Drosophila melanogaster: one gene and its partner. The protein of the gene in region 1 interacts with the protein of each later gene in a pairwise test. Each region holds a gene or a part of one and is shown on either strand. Other genes may lie near its edges. The genes, in order: Mst87F and Clp.

What was found.
Region 2: the proteins of Mst87F (region 1) and Clp interact in a two-hybrid assay, tested with the Drosophila melanogaster proteins (2 studies listed by BioGRID).

Annotation. Positions count from the first base shown.
Region 1 is NT_033777.3:13,812,621-13,829,770, reverse strand, and holds Mst87F (Male-specific RNA 87F), read left to right. Parts: upstream 1-1,762; 5' UTR 1,763-1,939; intron 1,940-2,084; exon of another isoform or gene 2,085-2,192; intron 2,193-2,282; 5' UTR 2,283-2,300; coding exon 2,301-2,471; 3' UTR 2,472-2,620; downstream 2,621-17,150. Other genes in the region: tal-AA (tarsal-less AA), read right to left, coding at 15,802-15,900.
Region 2 is NT_033779.5:818,188-823,873, reverse strand, and holds Clp (clipper), read right to left. Parts: upstream 3,911-5,686; 5' UTR 3,796-3,910; coding exon 2,905-3,795; 3' UTR 2,665-2,904; downstream 1-2,664. Other genes in the region: CG3662 (uncharacterized protein), read right to left, coding at 98-237, 305-1,016, 2,215-2,322; PGAP2 (Post-GPI attachment to proteins 2), read left to right, coding at 4,540-5,170, 5,231-5,367. UniProt on the Drosophila melanogaster protein: Component of the cleavage and polyadenylation specificity factor (CPSF) complex that plays a key role in pre-mRNA 3'-end formation, recognizing the AAUAAA signal sequence and interacting with poly(A) polymerase and other factors to bring about cleavage and poly(A) addition.

The DNA of each region.
Region 1 (17,150 bases):
CAGGTTTCCTCTGTGCACCTTCAAATTGATCGGCAAGAAAACGAGCTGCAGCATTCTTCAACTTTGATTTAGACATCTAAATAATATTTAAGTTAACATCAGAGTACTATGTATGTATGTACATATATCCGACTTTCAGAACTGCGCCTTACTTTTCCTTTTTAGCGATCAGCTGCCACTTTTTAGGGGGCGGCACGTGCTTTCTTCACTTTCGTCGGCTTCTCGGGTTACCTGAATCCGCCGTTTACCCTTTCGGTCGCTCCTCACCTTTGGCCCCATTGACGGCCACGCCCCTAAAGTCATTATGGCGCACACTTAGGGATAGGCGGATATTGATTTCCCTGGGCTGACTGGCAGTACTCAGCGCTTTCCAGCCGATGATGATGACATCTGCGTGTGCCCATTGTGTTTCACTTTTCATCAAACTTATATTAATAAGTTGATGCGAGGGGCCATAATTAAAGCGAATTCGATATTTCCGGCCGGAGGAAAGACATTTGGTTCACTGAACCCAATAAAAATCCTTGAACTCCCGTCGCCAGACGAAATACAAAATATTTGTATACATATGTATTGCCAATAATCTATTTCAAACAAAGGCCAGCCACAAATATGAACGAAAAAACTAAGTTAGAGCAGCGTCTGCTGCCCTTTTGGCGGCACCCTCACAAAATTATTGACCAGAGTTCCATCCATCTCGAGTTTGAAAAAAAAAAACCAGAGAGCCACAGAGAGAAAAATTCAATGAAAGTCATTTAACCACATTTAGGTGGTAAGAAAATAATTATTTAAAATCTGCTACCGCTTTCCGATTCGATTGAGACGCGCTTCGTCACTAAGTTCGCTACTAGATTTATGTAACTAAGTTTGATTCACTTTATATTAGACACTTTGTAATATAAGCTAGATTTGTATTTAATATATCTTACTCTACTCTTGTTCACATTTCTTTGAGACGCCTTTCGTCACTACGCTATATATTTTTTCTATGATAGTGATTTTTCACCGTGCCGAAACAGAACGACTTTGAGTTGGACTTGTCCGTCTCCTCGGATGCGAGATTCTACCCAAATATTTCTGCTAGAAGGGAGAGGACTTCTGTGCGGTTTGACGACGGGGTTTTTGCTTCGGTTTCTGCCTCTGCTGATCGACACACACACAAATACATACATACATTCTAATCAACATGCGGCAAAACATATAATTCGAATTTTTGATATTTCGCCCGACCATTTTGCGAAGAAAATTGCATTTAAACGCCTATTATGCGCTTTTTATTTGCAACCCATACTTTTCTGCCCGAATGCTCCGGCTGACTCAGTCATGCACAAATACAAATCATTGTATAATCATTGTGTATAACACTAGGGTTCCATTTTGGAGGCTGGCGAGCTCTGTCAACTGGTCCACTAGGCTTCCTGCTTTTCGGGAGTTAATTAAATCCGAAATCGTAAAATCGTTAGCAAATGAAATAAATTGCGCTCAATTACACCGAGTGACATCCAAGGCGCAATCGCTGGTGATTGACCTCTTTCAATGCGACGACATTCTTGGCTCGATTCGGCTGGGGAAAAAAACCAAGAAAAAACAAAATAAAAAACATAAGCAACACAAGTCTTCGGTCAGATAATGAACTTAATATACACTTGCATATATAGTATACCCGTTCAGCCCCGATACCCGGATTCTCGGCAATCGGCAATCGGCTATGCGCCATGCACTTAATCAAAAAGTACGACAAAATCAAGAGTAAACAAAAGTGCAGCGCAGAACTCGACTTGAGAACCGGCAGCGATTCGAACTTCAGCCGGGTGCAATGAACACATGATCCGACAAAACAAAAATTTAAATCTCATTTACCTCGTTTATATGTTACAGTGCACTGGAAAAATAGTGGCAACTTGATGCGTTCCTACCAAGTTGGATGATAACTACATAGGTAGGATCGAAATATAAAGGTTAATTCACATGAAGATTGAGCATTTCCCTACTTACAATACAATCATTATAAGCTTTAGCCAATGCTTTAAACAAAATATTTTATATAGTATCCTTTGCCTCTTCAGTCCGACTTGTCAAACCGATATACCTGTGCGTAACCAGATTTTGTATCATTATTATTTGTCCTTTCGGCCTGAACACATCAAAATTTGTCGTCTAGTCTCAAATTATTTCTTTTTGTTCGGTTCAAAGTGAGTGAAAATAAGTGAAAATTTACAAAAATGAAAATGTGTAAAAAATTCCTATGGCATATCATTTAAACGTACCTTTTCTCCCTTCAGAACTTTTACGAATTAATCATGTGCTGCGGACCCTGTGGACCCTGCTGCGGACCTTGCTGCGGACCCTGCTGTGGTCCATGCGGACCATGCGGAGGAGGATGTGGACCCTGCTATGGACCGAATGTCTGCGGACCATGCTATGCCTGTGGACCCTGTGGCGGCTGCTATTGTGGATACCCTTGCTGCTAGACAGTTGCAACTGGCCATGTCCAAGAAGGGTTCACCAGAACACCAAGACGATAGGATAGAACCTATCCCTATTTCATCCTCGTATTCATCTAATATTCGTGAACCACAAATATAGGTATTTGAGACAATAAATATGAGGTGTAAGCTTCAAGAAGGTTTGGTTTTTGATTAGTGATAATAGTCAAATGCAATTTGCTTAGCCAAATATCTGATTTTAGAACACAGATACAGATGTTTAGACGCAAATGCGACCTGAATTAGAATCGATCCGCAGTCTTCTAATGCGATGTGGTCGACCTTGACGTTTCGCCGAGAGTTTATTGTCCTTTCAATAGAACACGCTAAATAAAACTTATTTAAGCAGGTACATACATATTTAACCCGCACACAGTCATGCATGTTCTTGTGTTTTTGTTTTTATTTTTATTTTTATTTTACTTTTGTGTATATTTACTGCACTAATTCTGCGACGAACTAGTTTCGGCACAGCGGATTCCGATTCCTGAATTCCGAGCGGTATTAAACGACGGCGAAGCGCAAAAAGTCAACAAAGTGCATATAAAAAATATATTTAAATTTACCCGAATGCCGCCGTCTCCAGTCGCCGATCCGATCCCCCTGGAGATGACCGCCCCCCCCCCCCCACCCCTTTTTGGCCATATTTCTGGCCAACTCCAGCCAATCCGAAACCATCATCAGCTGACTGGATCTACGCGCGCGCCTTTTTAATTGCATCGTTTTTATTTGTGCGACTTTATGCAAATCAAACAAGTTCGCTGCCAAAATATTGCTGTTCGCGTTGATTTGCTGCTGCTGCCTGTGTTTGCCTTAAATTATTTATTTGTGTGTTGTGTGGGACGATACTCTTGTAGACAGTCGGTGTAAGTAGTTTGGCTGGTCAAAGCGCTTTGTTGTGGCGGCGCAAACCAAAATACGTCGAAAAAACACGCCGAAACTAAATATAAACACCAGCTTAAACCAAACATGTTTCATATGTCTTTTTGGGCGGGGGAATTTTTCTATGTATTGCTAGCTAGCTGCTTTTATTATTGATTAGCCAAATTGCCGATAATTAGTTTGACTTTGAACTTGATTTAGAGCTTGTTTGAAGCCGCGCCAGCAAATGTGTCAATACACACGGTTTTCCGATCGGTCCAAAGAACGAATTAGTATGGGAACTTAACTCATATCAATCAAACAAGATTTAGGTTCGTTAGCTTCTGTCATTGTGGGCTAAAATATTCGCATTAAATTAAGGCAGAAGTCAATTTGTGTCAGCCCTTTAAGTTTTAACGAAAGATTTGAAATTACGCAACTTACTCCGTAGACATCTAATTTTAAATATTTCTAAATACAACAATGTGTGCATTTTATGTACTTTTAGATTCCTCCTTGTCAAGTTTGCATGTATTATTTATACATATTTATTTATATTATTATTATTATAGCTCACACAATCACCCCAATCCAATCTCCTGCTCTTGTTATCCAATTTCCAGGCTCTTTTTTTCACTGGATAACTGGCACTGAGTTTCCCCATTCATGCCCTATTTGCAACCCAGTGAGTAAGTGGATTGGTTCAGCTTAGAGCGTTTCATGATCATGACTAAGGTCAGATTCATAAAAACCGCATAAACTAGACCCAATTTAGTTGACAAACACACACGAAAAACGCTGCGCGAAGAAATTAAAAGCGAAATGGAATTGTTTGTGCAAAAGCCGACGATTCGAGGGCGATGGCGAGGGGATGCCAAGTGCTGAGGGTGCCCCATTTGCATAGACATTTGCACGTCGAGGTTTGCGGTTTTGGGTGTCCAGAGGCGTATCGGATGCATGGTGGAGGCCCCCTACACCGCGAGAAATATCTGCCAATTGTCAAATGGAACTTCGTAATCTTTTACGTCGGATATGGTAACTAACTGTAAGCAGTTCATTTGAATCAGAAAACTATGAAAGTTATACTTTAGTTAATGAATTTATTGTATAACTTAAAGTGTACAATTTGATTGGTAAAATTTATAAATTTAATTAATTAACTTTCAATATTTTTTTATCTACGACTTGAGCTTTTTCCACCCTGTATTAGATAGCGAGTGAGGCGCTTCCATTTTCAAGGGTTCGCCTTGTCTGGCGTCTCGGATTAGCCGCTTCCACATTGAACTTGAGCTCTATGCATCCCCCAAGACAATCCGAATCCGAATCCGAATCCGAATCCAATCAGCTTGTGGGCCATTGTTGTTGCCGGATCTGGATCTGGTGCACTTGCACTTGCACTTGCGCATAAATCATGCGCGTCCAATGAAATCACGTGTTATAATTAGACCGATGCATTTTCACTTTCCACCAGCCAATTCAATCCAATCGAATTTAAGCCAAGCCATGCCGAACCAAGTTGAAGCTATCTCAAATGTCCGCATCCGCATCTAAGGCGACTCGGGGTGACAGCTGAAAATCGTGATATTTGATGGTTGTATCTGAATCCGTCTCTGTATCTGTTTGTGTATCTGTATCTGCGGGGCATTTGATTTGACCCAGGAACGAGGATTGGAATAGATCGGAACCCCATTGAGCCATCAATGGAGCGGATTGCCGGATTGCCCGTAAAGTGTCGTTCATTATGACCTCCTGTTGTTGTTGTTGGCGGTGGTCCAGCTCTTGATTCTTGGCTCTTGCCTCTTAGCTCTTGGCTACAATGTAAGCTCTTTAAAATATGCAGCGTGGCGATACTCCAGCACTCGCATCGGATCGGATTGGATTGGATCGGATCGGATGGAATCCACTTGGCACTCCATTCCGCCGGGGCAGCAGGTTGACCATGAGAACATGTTATTAAATTACTGTAATAATGTATTAAGTATGTAAGAATGCTACCAATGTTAATATGTAATAATAATTGTAATGACCAGGCCAGCCAGCAGTATGTACATATGTATGTATATGCCCGATCTATATGACCGATCTACTCGACTTTGGTCGCCAGTCTATTACTTCTACGCACTCCGAGTCCAGCGCCCATTTGACATTTCCATTTTCAGTTCCATGAAAGTGCTAATAATGCACTTATGTATGTATGTATGTACAGGTACTGCCCGGGATATATCGATTTCGATATATCACAGATATATATATACAATTTATGGTGCCTTCATTTGCGTCACTTGATCGCAACTGGGTTGGGTTTGGGTATTGTTTTTTTTTTTCGAGCTGTTTGAGTGTATAAATATATATTCGGAGGGGCAAAACCAGAACTTTGGGAAAGTGTGCCGAACACTTACTTAAATTATTCAAAGTACTTATCCCTTTTTAACTTCCCTTTTTTTTTAGAACTTAGCATATAGCATTATATCCTCCATCTATAAATTGAAAATGATTTTAACAAAAGCTAAATATACGACTTAGTTCAATTTTCTTGTAACTATTTATAGATTCTCGTAAAAAACTATACAAACTAAATTCTTCTAAGTAGACACATCTATTATCTACGAACTTTAATGCTATTACGTACACCAAGTCCCTTAATTATATGCAAATGCTGGGATGGCTTTCGTCAAACTTAGAAAAAAAAATATGTTAATTAATTTTTTCCCCTTTGTTATTATTTTTTGCCCAATATTCCCGGCAGCTCATTTCGGTTCTTCTTCTTGTTCTCGCTGATGATTCGTGTGTTATGCAATCAATACGATAATTTCAACATTTCTACAATGATACAAGTAAAAAGTTAAGGATATGCATATCCAGTTCTAATCGCACGATTTTCTGGATTTGCGAACTCTGCCAACGAGTTGGACTTGTAAATAAATCGAATTATCGTGTGCGTCGGCGTTTAATCAATTAATTAATATCACATACTTATAAATTGCCTCAAATGATGTTGAACAATTGCCCTGTCTTGGCCAGGTGCATTAAGTATCTCAATTTACGGCAGCAAATGTCAGCGGTTCGTGCGGATTTTGATATCTGCATTAGCATGTTCTCTTTCGCTTCGCATATTATTTGTGTATTTGCACAATGGCCAATAGTCAACAGTCGGCGTCTGGGCCCGGTCAGCAGTCGATCAATAAACATTTATAAACAAATTATGTCAATTTGTATGTAAAGACGAAATCGACTCAAATCGCACCGAGTGGCTGGCCATCGAATGCAGACGTGTTAAGAGTCGCCTTTGGGCCGCAAGTATTCGATTGCAGCTTACTGCTTGCCACTTTGCACTCGATTCGGCTTACAGATGGCAGACCGAAAAAAAATCGATGCTTAAAAGTATCTGATATTTTAGGAACTTGAAGAGAGTTGGGTTGGAAATTGAACTATCAAAACATAAACATATACCATATCAGCAATATCACAGCAATGCTTAAGTATTACATTGTCAATATTATATTTCATAGGTTTCATTTATGAAATTCATGAATTAAACTTAAATCGTTAGTATTTAAAAGATTGATTTCAAAAATGTGGCAATTCATGCACAGAAAGAAATCATTAGTTTATAATTACAAAAATTTAATCAAATTTGAGAAGCCTGAGATTTTACATAACTCTCAATAAATCAAATCGAACTTTGACTCCCGTTTTTCGCGCAGTGCATCTGCCCGCTCTCAGCTGAAAAGTTTCAGCGTCGCGTCACCGTCAACATTTAGTTTGGCTTTGCATTTTGTTACTTGAGCTAAATTACAGCGCATGAAATACGGAAGTTGTTATTGCTGTTATTGCTGTTGTTTTTGTTGCTATTACGGCATTGATTGCAGCCTGCACTTAGCGACAGAGTGAGACGGTTGTACATTGGTCGGTGGAGGGAGGCGGGGAGTTTTGGCCGCGGCCAAAAGGGCGTGTGTGTTTTGGCCCAAAGTTGTATGCTGCTAATTTTGATTTATTGCAAATCGCCATTTATGGCGTTTTTATCTCCGTAATGCTTCCTGTTCTCCATCAGATCGGCATGATATCGAGTAAGTGAGTGATATAAATGTGTGTGTGTAACTATGACTAGGCGTCTTTTTCAGATACTTTACTAGGCGATACTATGCGATCCGATCATTGAGCTTACTGATCTCAAGCTCGCGAACAGCGCGTGTTGTTTGATATTGAACTTGGCTTTGAGGCGAAGTCGAGTGTGGCACGAGTTCTGCCGCGTTAACTGGTGTTGTTCCTCGCCTTATTCTAATTTATATCTAAATTATTAATTGTTTATTTATGTTGTCAGCGAACAGGCTTTGTTCGCCGTAGGTGGTAACTGTAACAATGGGGGAGTATCGGCGTTTTTGGGGAATGCAGGGGAGTGCGTCTGCGGCGCATTTTGTGCATTAAACGCCTTTGGGCATGTGCAATGTCAACTTAGTGACTCCGAAAGAGGAAGTTATAAATCTTAATAATTAAATTAAATTTCATGATATTTTAATTAATATTTTTTTTCGACTAACGTTAAATTGGAAGAGAAATAGATAATAATATGCCCAACGTGTGCAAATTTTTTTTGCGCATTCATCCCAGAACTGCTTTATTATTAGTATCTATTGTTAACTAATTTGCTTAATCCAAATTGAGAATGATTGCAAGTGTTCCAACAAATGATTTCAACTGGCTTATTGTTAATAAATATGCAATTGTTATTTATTCTAATTTAATCGGCAATGATCGCTAACTAGATCATTCAGCTCCAAAATATTCCCATGTAATTGCCTTTAGCTCCCCGATTTACGTCATATTCCGGTTTCTGGCTGTATTTCTTCCCAAAAAAAATAAGATAAGAGTCCCCAGGGAGATAACAATAAACAAGGCGAAATACTTGTTTCGCTTAAAATACGATACAGTAATTAATTGGTGCTAATCTGTGCAACAAAGAAGTATAATAAAAATAAGAGTAATGTGCCAGGGATCGTCTGGCTTGGTCCAAAGACTATTCGGATACAAAATGCACAAATACACTTTCGCAAGCGTAATTTATTTGAAGCTAAGTTAATTAAGTGCATTCTGTTTGCCAGCAAGCAGACGAGTTTTGCCCTGTTTAATGAGTGCGATAGGAATACTTTCGGTCCAAATGCCCGTATTGTTTGAGATTTAATTTCAATCTCGATTTATTCAGACAGAGGACTTGCATTTAATGTGTAGTCTCAAGGTCGCACCCCTTTTTTATGTCGAATTAAATGTCGCGACTTCGCAAGTTGCAAGTAATGGGTTAATCGGGGCTGGGTTTTCGGGCATCCATCCCGGGATGGACAATGACTGGCAGAAAAAGGGCCAACTTCCCAAGCCACTTATGAGTGTGATTAATCACAGTTGAGTGTTGCTATCAATTTTAATTTCATTATAAAAGTTTACATTACCATCGACGATGGCCGGCAAACAAAGGCCGAAATCCAAGACCCAAAAGAAGCACATGACACCTCAAACAAAAAATGAAAATAAAAACAAAAAAAAAAAAAAGAAAAAATCAACTGAAGCGGCAGACGAAAACCTTTCGAAGAAGAAGCTATGTGCTATGATACCATAATCCACGAATAAAACTAAAGAAACACAGATACACACCTCTACAAACACACATACACACACACACTCATGCACACAGCAACAAAAAAGCTCACAAATAGTTCAATGAACTTATTTTTGTTGTATGTTGCTATGCTGGCTCCATAGCCCCGTCTCTTTCGATCGCTTTGTGTAAGTGTGTTTGCGTATTTATTTATGTTTTATTTTTATTTGTTTCGTCTATTTGAATTCACATTTTTTGTGCCCACAAGGTGGGAAATATTCCAATCGAAATGCATTGAAAGCTCACTCGAGAGATACACTTGTATCTTATGGATACGTAGATCAAAATTAACATTTTAATGATCGAAATACATTTACATTTACATTTACAGCAGCGATCTTCTCGTCTTCTTTGATCTGCATTTGATTTTCTCTACGCTCGTGTGCCATCAAATATTGTCACGTAGCCACCAGCTCTCGTTCTTCTGGATTTTGTGGTTTTGAATGAATTTTGATAGCCAACATGCAGGTTGAAGCTCCCCAAATAAAAAAATAAGACCGAATATACATTTTCACATGCCTCTAATCAAGTGTGAATAATCCCATTTTGGGGCCAGTCAGTGAGCAAAAAGTATTTAAGCTTAATTGTTATGCTGATAGAGGAGGCGCTAGATGGATTGGTTTCAGCTTCAGGCCCAAAAAAAAAAAAAAAAAACAAATTAAAGGGAAAAACAAAAGGCATACAAGAGTATGCCCACCTGACAGGTGTACAAACACACAGGTAGCCAGCTTTTGGTAACAGTGTGTGTGCGTGTGTGTGCTTGTGTCTTTTGGCCAGCTCACGTTTCGTTTGCCGTCTGGGGAGCTCCAAGCTTAAGAGCTCTTTCTGTCTGTTTTGGCCAAATACTTTGATATTTTTACATATAAAACAATTATGAGTTATGCCGACACCTTCAGCAGGTCGAATTCGTATTACACTAATGGGCTTGTAATACTGTTTAATGGCGGGATATAATGTTAAAATAATTAATGAATTATCAAAGAAATGAATAGTAAGCAGATAAATAAATCGCAATCAAATTCAGATTATAAAACACAATTGGCTTGCTGATTATTCACTTTCCCATCTCCACTTGGAAGTATCTACAATCTTCTTATACTAAATTGCATTGTTCAATAGGGAAAAATATCATTTTAAAAAATCTATATCTTTATCTATAAAATGATACATTTGATTTAAAGAGGATACATATATGTACTTAGTTTCCAGCTGGTACTTAATGTACCCCATTCAAGGGCCAAAAACAATGTGTAATAGTTTTTTAATTGAATTGTCGCAAAAACGGCGAACTTGGCTGCTTTCGAAGTTATTTTCGTTTGATTTTACGGCGAACTGTAGGCGCGTGAGTTCGACTTTGGGTGCTATTAATTAATTGTCATGTGCTTATTTCTATTACACAATCTAGCTGCCCCAGTGGGCGTGTGGGCTAGCGTTAGCGTGTGTAGAGATGCTGATGCTGAAACTGAAACTAAAAAAACTGAGGAACAGCGACTTACGCAATTTATTTGCCAAGTGGCCAGGTTTGCACAGGTGCTGCGCCACCCCACCAGCTCTCCTTCCGCCAACTGCTGACGTCACTGATAGTGGCTGCAAACAGAAAACAGGCGTCAGCGAGTAAGTACACAAAACGCTGGCAGATATTAGATATTTTTGCTCGCCAAATGGCACTGGCTGCGCAATTGGTTAACTTGGACTTGGCCAACAAGCCTAAAGTCAGTGCCAAGCAATGAAAATTGCAACGTGTTTTGGCATTAGACGTGAAAGTGGCCAAGTGAGTGGGTGACTTTTTTTTTTTTTTTTTTTGCAGGGGGATATGTGAATGCGAATGGGAATGGGCTTTGAAGAGCAAAGAGGGTAAGACGGCCCACACCAACCGTCAGCATTTGTTGGCTTTTATGGCACGTAATTTGCAATTGGCAAAACCAAGTCCAAGACATTTTCAACGCGACTGTCTCTTTTGCCGCTGGCAAACTTTTCACTTTTCATTCTGCGCTTTTCCACCTTCTGCCATTTTTGCATCCAACGTACGTGCCCCACGTTGCATATTTTGCCCTGTTGGCCTATTAAGTCCTGGGTTCTTGTTGGCCGCGGGCCAAAGTCTGTGCATTGAGTGCGGGGGAAAAACCAAAACGCCCGCCTATGCCGTTTTTTAAAGGCAAGCGACCCATTTAGCCTGCATATTGCGCATACGCCCTGTGGTGAATCAAATGTAATCCACTTGATGACTAAGGCCAGATTAAGCCGAAATGTTAAATCTGACACGTGAATCGCCGCAAAACTATGCGAAACAAGTTCAAAAATATTTTCAATATTTATCTTCTCTCTTTTTCTGTGTTGGCTTTGCAAAAAAAAAAACAAAAATTGAAAGAAAAAAGAAATATTTGCAAATTAGGAGAAACTATCATATTTTTGAAGGTACCCAGGGAGATGAAACTGAAACTGAATATATAACAAAAGGCACTTGTCTGGGTGAAATTTTCACTAGATATTCAAATGAACCAACAACAACAAGCAAGTGTGGCTGCTGGCTGAACAAACAAACAACAACTAACACAAAAAACGGAAACCGTTAAAGCCAAAAAAGACAACAACAGTTTGAGAGTCGCTTTCAAATGACGCACTGAAAGAATTTGGACGTGCTTGGAGAGGTCCAAAAGGATTCAAGGATATCGCACAAAATGGTGTATATATTAAAGGAAATTCCATAGTTGTTAATAGGTTTGATATAACTACATATTTAATATTTTTTAAGATGATCTGCACTATTGAATTCACCTCCCTGATGAAACGAATTGCTTTGAAGGCACCCCCGATTTTCGCGCTGTGTACCAATCGTTGGCGCTGATGTTGCTGCTGTTGATGAGGCGTGCTCCGTTGTTTACCCCACTTGAAAGCGACTGAAGATCAATGGGTTGTATGACCAAGAGCAAGACCAAAGTTGTGGTGTTGGTCTACCACTTTCGTTGATACTGTTGTTGATTTTGTGTGTGTGTTTTTGTTTTCATTTCCAAGACGCCGCTAGAGCTTTGAGCGATTTTTCATTGGAATAGAAAGTGAATTGAATTTGTTTTCGCTGGCGGATTGCGCGTTCCATTGCTCTTGACGTTGTCGTCTTCATTGGGGTGCTGTTGTTTACACTGAAAACAACGGAAAGCAGATGTCCGCCGACACGGAGACAGTCATCTCTCTGCAGTCTTCGGTCTTCTGGAAATTGGACCATGTCATTGACCCTTTCTGCCTCGAGTTGCCCCAAAAGCAGTGAGAGTGCTTGTTTGTTGTTTATCTTTCGGCTTCAGTTGTTGTTTCTTCCGCTCGAGGAAAAACGTCAGTGAAAGAGAAGCTTTTGTTGCACAGCTCGTGGACTTTACTCGAATGCAATTATTGGTGGAGGTGATTGGGGATCCGTAAAGTTTCCAGATGGTGACAGGAAAATTGTAGAAAATTCGATGGAACAAGCCGATCGATCTTGCTTTTTTAATTTTCGGATGCCATAGGCTTAAATTGAAATTGTACTATTTTAAAATAATTATTCCAACATCATTGACTTCCCAAATAGAAAATATTAGTACAATGAAATCTCATTAATATATAAACTCCTATAAATAATAACTCTTATAATTTCTTGTTTGTTTTGTTTATGACTGCAGATAACTACAAACATGTTTGTCGATTTTGAATTGTATTTCATAATAAAGGTAGCATTTATTTCTTTAATGTAATAAGAAACTATAGATTTCCCCAATGAAGACCCATATGACCACCGAATCATCCAGAGAGCTGTTTATGTCCCAGATTGACTTGACTTCCACTGTCGCTTTCTATTTGTGGTGTCTTCTAGCGTTTTCCAATGCGGAACCGCCGATCCATGGGCTGCAGTCTGCTGACTCGATTTCTTTTACCAAAATACCAAAAATGTGTAAATTGAACGCGGAGCGGCGGCATCGAGCCAATGGGTTTATTCACCTTTCGCCTAATTATCAATATACATACATAAGCGGAGTGTACCAGAAAGCGATGTATAGCATACATACTACAAGATACAGATACATATGTGTGCAAAAGCGTCGACCAAACCAAGACGATCCGATGACGAAGACAGCTACTTCAATGAAATCAATTTTACGATAATAACTTTTGGGCAGAAACAAAGCCCAGTGAGCGAGGCCTGTGAATCGAAAAGCGAATTCGTTGATACCCCGATTCCGAAGCCCTGGCGATTCATATACAATATAAACATTGATTCAGGCCCGGCCAGCAGCTCATGTACCGTTGGAAATTTCTTGCCTTTTCTTTTTTCATTTCTCAGAGCGTTGTGTGTAAATTTTGTTATTTTGTTTTGTATGTGTGTATTGTCTTGTTGCTTTTTTTCGTTGTTATTGTCTTGCACAAATGTAGGTCAAGTTATACGTTCGCCAGTATGCGTGTGTGCGTGAGTGTGTGTGTGTGAGTGAATATCTGTGTGTGGAGCTCGTGGGACGTTGGGAGCTGGAGCTGGAACTTGGATCCGGGGGCGGCACTGAAGGGGTCTGTCATCCCGTCGCACTCTGAATGACTGACTAAAAGTCGGGCGATGAGTCCGAGGCACCGACAGTATTTTCTAGTAGCTCCATCCCCGGCCAACTTTCACTTAGAAAGTTCTCTGCTTGCGGTTATGAGGAATCGGATTTTCGTTTGCTCATTTAATTTGTATACCCTTGCCGAGCGTTTTGGGGTTAGTTTGTTTCCAGAATTCACACTTCGCTACGGAGGAGAAGAAAGTGCTGAAAACAGACTCTTCCTTTCAAGAACTTCACATCATTTCGGTGAAGAGATGGGCGAAATGGCCTGCAAATTTTCAAAAAATTTGTCATATGTTATTATAAGACATTTAGAAATATGTTTCACACAACCAATTGAACCAATTGAATCCCATAAGATATAAAAGGCTTGATTAGATTTAAAACTGCAATTTATATTTAAAATATATTGATGGCACAAGGTCAAGCATATGACTTTAAAAAACAATAATCAAAATTGAATATCGAGATTCCAGAATATTTTTGCTTCAGGATTCATTTTACAGGGTATTCAGAGTTTCGCCCATCTTTCTTCGCCCGTGACTTGTGCTGGCTGCTTTTTTTTTTTGGTTGAACATGAGTTGGCTTATACACATTCTGTGGCTGAAAGCGATATTCATTCATATCGGCGACAACAAGTTAACTGGGTCACCGCGTGTGTGGGTTCCTGGGAAGATCTGATTGCAGGCGGGTCAATCGAATCAGATTGAATGGAATGGAGTCCCGAGCTGGACAAGACGATCCGCCCAATTGCATTTTCAGTTCGAATCACTCGATTGAGTGGGAAAGCTTTCCGTTAGGCGACGTCATCAGCGCCGGCCGCGCAGCAACCTTGGCGATCAGCTGTTCGTAGCGAGTGGATTTCCCTGAACTTCATACTGATACTGAAAAGCTAGTGCGCGCGTGTCTATTAATAGTCTCTCTCGTTTTCCACCGCTCTCTGGCGAAAGAGTTAAACTGCCTCTTCGGCGGGAACTTCCTGCTGGAAAAACCTGCTGGCTGAGAGCGTGAAAAGCTCTGTGCTCTCTTAAGTGGAAATCTGCGAGCTAGCGCTCTCTCTGCCCCTCTCTCAGAATCACAAGTTCTCGGCTGTAGTTGTTATGCTATTATTGACCTAATCACTTGTGGAGCACAAACGAACATTGAACTTTTACTTCCGCATCAGCGTTGCCCGATCAAGATTCGCTCTTTCGATTGTCCGGATAATATTTTTGCATTGGGAAATGCGTTTTCATTACCCCCCCCCCTCGGTGTTTTTCCATTTTTATTGATCATTTCCAGGCCGCTTGGCCGCCGGCGACCGCCCAGTGACATTAATTAATGCCCACAGATTCATCAAATATGCGCTGGCCGTTTGGAAAATCATATTTTATGCTCACCCGACAGCAATTTGTCCGCGGCGGAGCCCCCAGAGATCTAACTCAGTGTGTGTGTGTGTGTGTATGTGTGTGGGCATGTATCTCTGTGTATCTGGAAAATCTTGTAATTTAATGCGACAATTTTTTGCTGCTCGCTGGTCCATCCATACACCCATCGATCGATGGAAAAAGGAAAAAATGCACTCAAAATGTTCAGTTTTAAATATGGTTTTCTTTTAATATTATATTTAAATGGGTGTGAGAGGTGTGTGTTGGGGTTCTCTGGATGTCGGTCGAAGGTGTAGACATATAAATAGCTTAAAAACGCTTATGATCTAAACAAAATTTCTCGCTCTCCGAATGGTTTTCCTTGCTCTCAGCGAGAGAGAGAAAAAAAGAACATTACAAATCGTTGGCAATAAATAAATGATAATTTAAACAAACGATGATTTGCTCGGGAAATATGACACTAAACATAATACTCTTTGCGTAATCTTTTCCAATTTGAAGAAGCAATTACAAGTGTATAGTATATATATATAACATATATGGTGTATGTGTGATACAATATAGGATATAGGATATGTATGTGTGCGTATCGGTGTTTTGTGAACAGCAATGAACAGTATTTAATTTAAATAGTATGATAATAATAAATAATTAATATAATAGGTATTGATAGGCTACGCAAAAACTACATAAATACAAAAGTCTCCATCGCAGGGCTCCCCAAGATCGCTTGGGGAAGCCCCGATCCCCAGCTTTCTTCTCCGCCGGCAGCTGGAAGTCTCCTCGCGGCCACGAACGCGCAACCAGCGCGCTCCCCCAATCATGCCCAGAGTTTGTGGATAAGGCACGGGCGTTATGGGGCACTGTTGTTGGGATATCAGCGTCTAGTACTGCCCGGTTGGATCCAGGCAGTCCTGTCGCCTCTTTTGGCGGGAGTCCTGCGTGTCGCGTGGTCGCCGGTATGTTCCAGTGGGATCCAGCATTTTTAAGGATTGTATTTGTGGAGCTTTTGAAGTGGGTATAGTATTCAGCCTTAGAATGCTTGGCTATGTGGAGTTCTTGCGATAGAACCTTAGTAGGTGCCAGTGGGGTCCAAATCGTGCGACATTTTGATACTGTTTTAAATAACTTTCGGCTTGGAACTCAAAATATTGCTGCTTCTGCTTGCTTGCTCCAACTTCAGTACTGACCAGTGGGATCCAGATAGGCGGCCATGGCGAAGATCTGTGATTTATTGGATTTTCTAAAAGAGGTCTACGATTACGATGTCTTGCTGTCGTCGTGTAGCTTCTTTAGTACTGGCCAGTGGGATCCAAGTAGGCTGCCATTTCGTATGCCGTGTATTGACCAAAAATACTTGAATGACAAAACCGAGCTGGCTTTTTGTTTCTGCTGCTGCTGCTGCTGTCGATTCTCCTTTGTTTAATTTGAATCAGCGCGGTATTGAACTTTATACTGGTTCTCGGCGCTGTTGTTGTAAGTTCTTTTATTATCACCACCAGTTGTTGGGTTTCTTGGGGCTGAATATACAGTCACGTTTGGTTGTGTGTTTGGGAATTTTTTCGTGCGTTCAAAAGTCACTGACACTACAAATTCGTTTATTGTTTGTTAATAATGTTTAGTTTGTTCGGGAACCGCACGGAAAATCTTTAAGGCGTTACGTGAATATCTGCGGACTTTTCTGATGTCTCAGCTGGTTTTCTTTTAGCTGGTGATCTGCACTCGTCGAATGTTGTCGATCTTTTGATTTGATTTTCGTCAAGTCGTAAGCTTAAATGCTCGACCGGCTCGACGTCGCTGCCGGCGTCGCTGTCGAGTGCTCCAAGAGCGGGAGCGAGTGCAAAAGAGCACGATATACGGCAGGTGCGCCGCGCTCTTAATGGCACCATTCTCTTAGGCGAGTGGGTGAGAGCGAGTGGGGAGATGATCACGATCGTATTTTCATTCATTTCCAGGTAGAGCATTTCTCGCTTTCGCTCTCTCTCTCTCCGCTCTCGCTCCCTCTCTCTCGCTCTGCTCACACCCACCTGGATTTCATTCACCAAACAGCTGTTTCTGATCGAGTGGCCTCGTTCTGCTCACACGTGTGTGAGGATCTTGTGTGTATGTGTGCGTTGGAGGAGCTCAGGTAAGAACTATCCTGGAATTCCATTGGTCCTTAGATTCTCAGACTGCGATCCTGAGGCAACAGACTCCACCTTCTTTTAAGGCCCGCAGCTAATTAAGGTATATT
Region 2 (5,686 bases), on another chromosome or scaffold:
TCTGTGTATGTATAAATCGATTCTAAGTAATAATTTGTTTAGGTTGTGTTATCATATGGGTGTTGTAGCTTAAAAGATCCTCCTCCTCCTCCAAAGCTCAGGCCTGTTGCCTAGCCTCGTTGGCCTCGTAGGCCTCCACCTCGGCGATGTTGGCCAGGTCGTACTCGATGACGCCCTTGCCCATGAACTCGGCGTACTTGGCTGACTCCGGCAGCGGATCAGCCGATCTCTTCGAGACTGTAATGGGTCGAGGAATGGGAATGGATCAGTAAGTTGCTGGCACCTGTAAGACATTGCTACTCACCGCCTGAGACGAACTTCTCCATCATGTAGACCTTCATATCGAAGCACTCGTTGGCAATCCGCTCCGAGATGAGCGAGACATCGGTGATGCGGGGCATGACCACACGCATCTGGCGCCGCACGCGCTCCGTATCTATGTTGTAGTAGCCAGTGCTCATCTTCTTTATGAGATCCACAAAGCTGGTCGGGGGCAGGGTCGTGTCCCGATCCAAGGGCATGATGAAGCACCGTCCGGTGGTAGTGTCGATAATGGCCGACTGGTTCTCCTTGAAGTCGTGCATGAAGCGACCACGACGTCCATCCTTGAAGTCGGGCACGTCCACGCGTGCGTAGCCCTCGTCATCGCTGTCACCGTCCAGTTCGATGTCCTCGCGGAAGTGGCTCTCGTCCAGCGATCCACTGTTGGGCATCGGTTGCGCGAGCTCGGGTAGCAAGGAGCGCCAGTTCAGGGCGAACGGTTCCACGGTGCGCGGATATACCCGCGCCATCTCCATCGAGTCCTCCGGATAGGGGATCTCGCACAGGGCGTGGTAGCGCATGCTGCTATGCGACGGAGCGTACACTCGGTACAGGGTCCATCCGCCCAGGACACCCAGGAGCATCACGACTACGGCGATCAGGAACAGCAGAAAGGATTTGATGCAATGGTGCTGCGGCCGGTTGAAGACCATGGATTCCGCGTCGGCTTCATTATCGCTGTAAGCAACCTTGGGCTGTGTGTGGAAAATGGGGGGTTTTAAAAATATGGGATACTCCTCTAAGTGTCACTTGCAATTTTGTAGGAACAACAAATTGCAATGGAAAAGTAGCAGTTTTATATACAATCTAAAGTTATCTAAAATGACCGACTTGTTATATCTGTTTCCTTATCACCCATTGTTCCAGTGGAAAGTCATAAAAACGACGATAAGTCGTAGAAAAATACAAATAGAAGGCAGTTGACTGTAATGTTGATAGTGGAAGTTCCACAAGTCGAAAGGTTTGAGCTTGCTGAATATTAATCACACATTTATATTTTCCGCCAGCTCAGCAAGATAATTTTTCACTGCAATGCCTTCTCTTGTTCTATAAACAATGCAATTGCATTGCTAAGTCAAAATTGTTTCGAAAGATACGTCGTTAGCGAGAGATTAGTCTAAGGAGGGGTCAGAAGAGATCCCCTTGCAAAAAATTAATCAATTGAAGGCATTTGCATGCACTAGAGTGGACCTTATTCGACTATGTAGTGCATAACTCATATGTAAATGTATGATTGTATATAAATCTCTGGAAAATTAGTGATATCTACACTAAATAAATAAACTGCAGATGGGCAAATATGCTGGGAGATGGGAGATGGGAGCTGGCAGCTGGGAATGATTGTGCTTATGACCAGCAAGCTGATAAGACACGACTTTCTCTGGATACCCGTGCACACGAATCGAGGTCAAAGTGCACAGTGTCAGCAGCTCACAAAGGGCTGCAACTGGCACCGTAAGTGGCTTTCCCCAGCCGTCAGGGCCAATCTCCACCAGCAACAGGAAAACCCTTCGCGCTGACCTCGGGGAGCGAGCGAGCGAGTCCTTGGCGCGGAAAGCCCAGGAAAGTGAATGGGCACACGTCACTTGGAGTGGAGCAGGGGTTGCATGCGGGCAGGGGGGTAAGGGGAAGCACGGGCCACAAGGACACCAAGGAGTGCGGAGCTTGGTCGGGGAAAAATCGATGGCGAGCTGCTGCTGCTGAGGCTGTAATTCGGAATGGATTCCGAATCGGAATCAGCACCAACCACCCACCCATCACGAGACTTGTGGCTCTCGGGCCGCAGGACGAAGGACACGGTGGCGGGCAGGGCGCGAGGGATGGACAAGGACATAGCACGATTGCGCAAAAATAAGGACACATCCCGCAGATGCGATGCCAAGCAAAACTCACTGCGATTAGGGAGCCATGGTGCATGAGCGCCTCGTCGTTGAGGTTCATGGGCAGGGGCACCTTCTCCTGGTCCGTGGGCTGTCCCCGCAGTTTTCCCAGAATTGTCATGGCTGCTCGTATGCTGTGTTCTTGATGCCTCCGCACGACCAACTTGTTTGTTTTTACTGAAAATTTAGTGCGCAATTGTTGACGAGCTGAAATCTCGATCCAGACAAGCCAGTGTGACCAGTTCTAATTCGCCTTTCAAAAGATGTGGACAAAAGTGAGGCAACTCTAGAGTGGTTGCAAACTTGGAAAAGACGATTCGCCGCCCAAAAATTCGAAACTTGAATCCGAAAAAAAATTGTGAGGCACAAATTGTTATCTTACAAACGAAAAAACATGATACATTTATATTTTTGGAGAAAACCCAAAACATACAACTAAACTCCCTTCCAAAACGAATTGCTTACTTGTATCTTATGGAAGTTTATTTCGCTGATAACACAATACGTTCTACTGGCAGTTCTAGGGACTTTTTTCAAAAATGCAAATGAGTTTCTTAACATACACTTTAAACACAGAATGATTGAAACGTTCGCCTGCGGAAGTTGGGAACCTACGACCTCTGGACTACACAGCGGACTATGCAGACCGCTTTCGACCTTTATTTCTGCACTCTTACAGTCTAATCATACAGAGCAGAGCGTCCTACTTATGACTATGTTGGTTAGAGAGGAAGGCGAGGTGACCCTTGGGACACTTGTTCGCGTAGTGGCCCTTGTTCCCGCACTTGTAGCAGGTGATCTCCTCCAGGGGCGTGGGCACCTTGACGAAGCCGGGACCATGCGGCTGACTGTGGTGATTGGATTGCATGTCATCGGCACCCTCGATGTGGCCGGAGTGTCCAGAGTAGCCGCCCGAGTGTCCGCCGGAGTGATCCATTGCGTTGATATTGTTGCGATGCTCCAGGCTGCCCACATACTGCTTGCACGAGTTGGCCTTGTGGCCCAGCTCGCCGCAATAGTGGCACGTGGGCAGTTTCTTGTGCAGCTGATCCTTACCCAGTTCCGCCAGCGGGGGCAGCTCGAAGTGCGGATGCATGTGCTTGCAGGACGGGCCCTCGGGGCAGAAGCCGGCTAGGTAGTCCATGCACAGGACACGGCGCAGATGCTGGTGCCGGCAGTGGGGACCGTGGCGGCAGAAGCCTCTCTTGTACCACGGACAATCCTTCACCTTGCTCTGCGGGTCGATGTGCAAAAAGGGACACTCTTTGTTGTGGCAGGCGTTGAACCTCGAGTAGAAGTAGCACTCGGGCATCTTGGTCATGTCGTACTCGTGCAGGAACTCGCACTGGTCGCCCTTCTTGCACAGTCCTCTCAGCCAGTGCTTGCACACGATCGTCCGGTCCCCGCGAATGTGTCGGAAGGGACAGGCGCTCCCTTTGTCGCACTCCTGTCCGTTCCTGGTGATGAAGTTGCAGACCGCCGCAATGGACTTGTCCATGCCGTAGAACGGCAGCGGGATGGCACCCACCTGCTCGATGAGGTCCCGCTCCGCCTTGAACTGCAGCCCACTTACGTTGGCCAAAAGGATGTCCATCTCTGACGGATTCGCGGATGCTCGGATAGATGAGGAAAAACTCCGAAATCTGGTAAACAATGCAGTTTCCTTCTTCTTTTTTTGCGCGTGTTTGTTGTTTCAGTGCGAATAGTGCTGACACGCAACCGGCGTTATCGATATCGATAGTTCGCAAGGCAAGACAGTCATGGCCGTCTAGCTGTTTATTAGCCAAATCTGTCCACTTCAGGGAATAGATATTTGTATATAAATATTTTTAGTCTCCAAATGTTTTTAATTTATAAGATTAGTCATAGTAAGAAAATACTTGTTTTTATGACCTTATTTAACTAAACCGCCATTAATAACATTTTAGCTATTTAGCTACAAAAGTAAGTTGATATTGGTCAGCACTGTTGGCGACTAAAGTATTACATAGAAATTAAGTATCCGCCCCGTTAGTGTTGCTGATAAAAGGGCTTATCTACAATGAACGAGCCAGTTTCAAAAATTTCACTTACACAAGAGCAACACTTGAATTGCTTCGAAATTTAAACATTAAACACTGAGTAAATTCGATAATGAACCACCCCCGCCGCCAGAGGCCGATAGTCAGCTGGTATCGATCACTTGTTTACAACTTTTCGCAATGTTTATAACGTAAGCAATCTGCGTGAAAAGCCATTAGTTAATTTGGGAGCGAGGAACTGAAAAATGAGGAGCGAGCGCCGCTGAAGAACCCAACCCGACCAACACCCCACGTAGTCCACCCACTCCAAAGGTCAAATGCTGCCTACTTACGAGCGCTTCAGTGATCCCAAAAGCGTCCTCTTCCGGCTTCCCTTTGCGCGACTGGCACTGGTGGCTCTTAGTTTGCCCCTGGGAGGCTTCTTCTTCTGCGTGATTTGGTCTCTGACCTTTGACTTCGTTAGGAGCACCTACACCCACTGCGATGTGACCAACTATCTGCCCTCCGTCTCGGCGGCCATTGGGAACTATGAGCCCCAAAAAACCGTCTGGAGACTGGCCATATTTCTGCATTTACCACTCCGTTTGGCAGTTGCCAAAATCTACTTGGAGCACTATCGGGAACACATCCGCCGGAGCAGAAGATTGCTGGGCATCCTGGCCTGCTTCTTGAACGTCGTGGAGGATCTGGCCCTCTTCTGCTTGTCGTTTTGGACCTCTGCGGATCATTACGAGACCCACAGAAACGCATTTGTGGTGTTCATTGCGTGTTCCGAGTGCTATATGCTGGTTTCCTACCTGCTGAACAGGAATATACAGAAGACCGTGCTCTTGCCGCACGAGGAGAAGTCGCTGAGGTACAAGAGAAATCTGTTCTTGGTGAATGTGATCGCCTTTGGCTTGGCAGGATACTGCTTCGTGAGGCACAACTCGCATTGCGAGGCGGGAGGTGAGTGGGAATCGGTTGTGAGTCCACTATTGTCTTATAATGAATCTTTTCTATCCACAGTCTATACTTTCTTCGCGTTGTTCGAGTACATCGTGGTGCTGACCAACATGGGGTTCCACATGACCTCCTACTGGGACTTCTACGCCCTGAATGTGGTGTGTGATGCCAAGCACGGTCTCTACCTATCACAATCGTAGACCAATGAACTAGATCAAACCCAGCCTGCGCCGCCATTTCAGCCAGCCAGTCGTCCTCGAGTATTGTGTACATACGCGGTATTAGCTTAAGCTCAATGTTTACTTAATTTTACCAAAAGGAAATTGCTTACGAGGGATTCCGAGAGGAGACGATTCAGTATGACAGGATCTGATGCATACACACGCTTTTAGCTTTAGGCTCTAACACGATTTTACACCTAAAGGATCTAGTTAAATTCGAACCGAGTTCCATCATTATGTAGTGCATTATTTATACACATACTCATTTAGGAACAAGGCTTCAATAAGGTTTTATTTT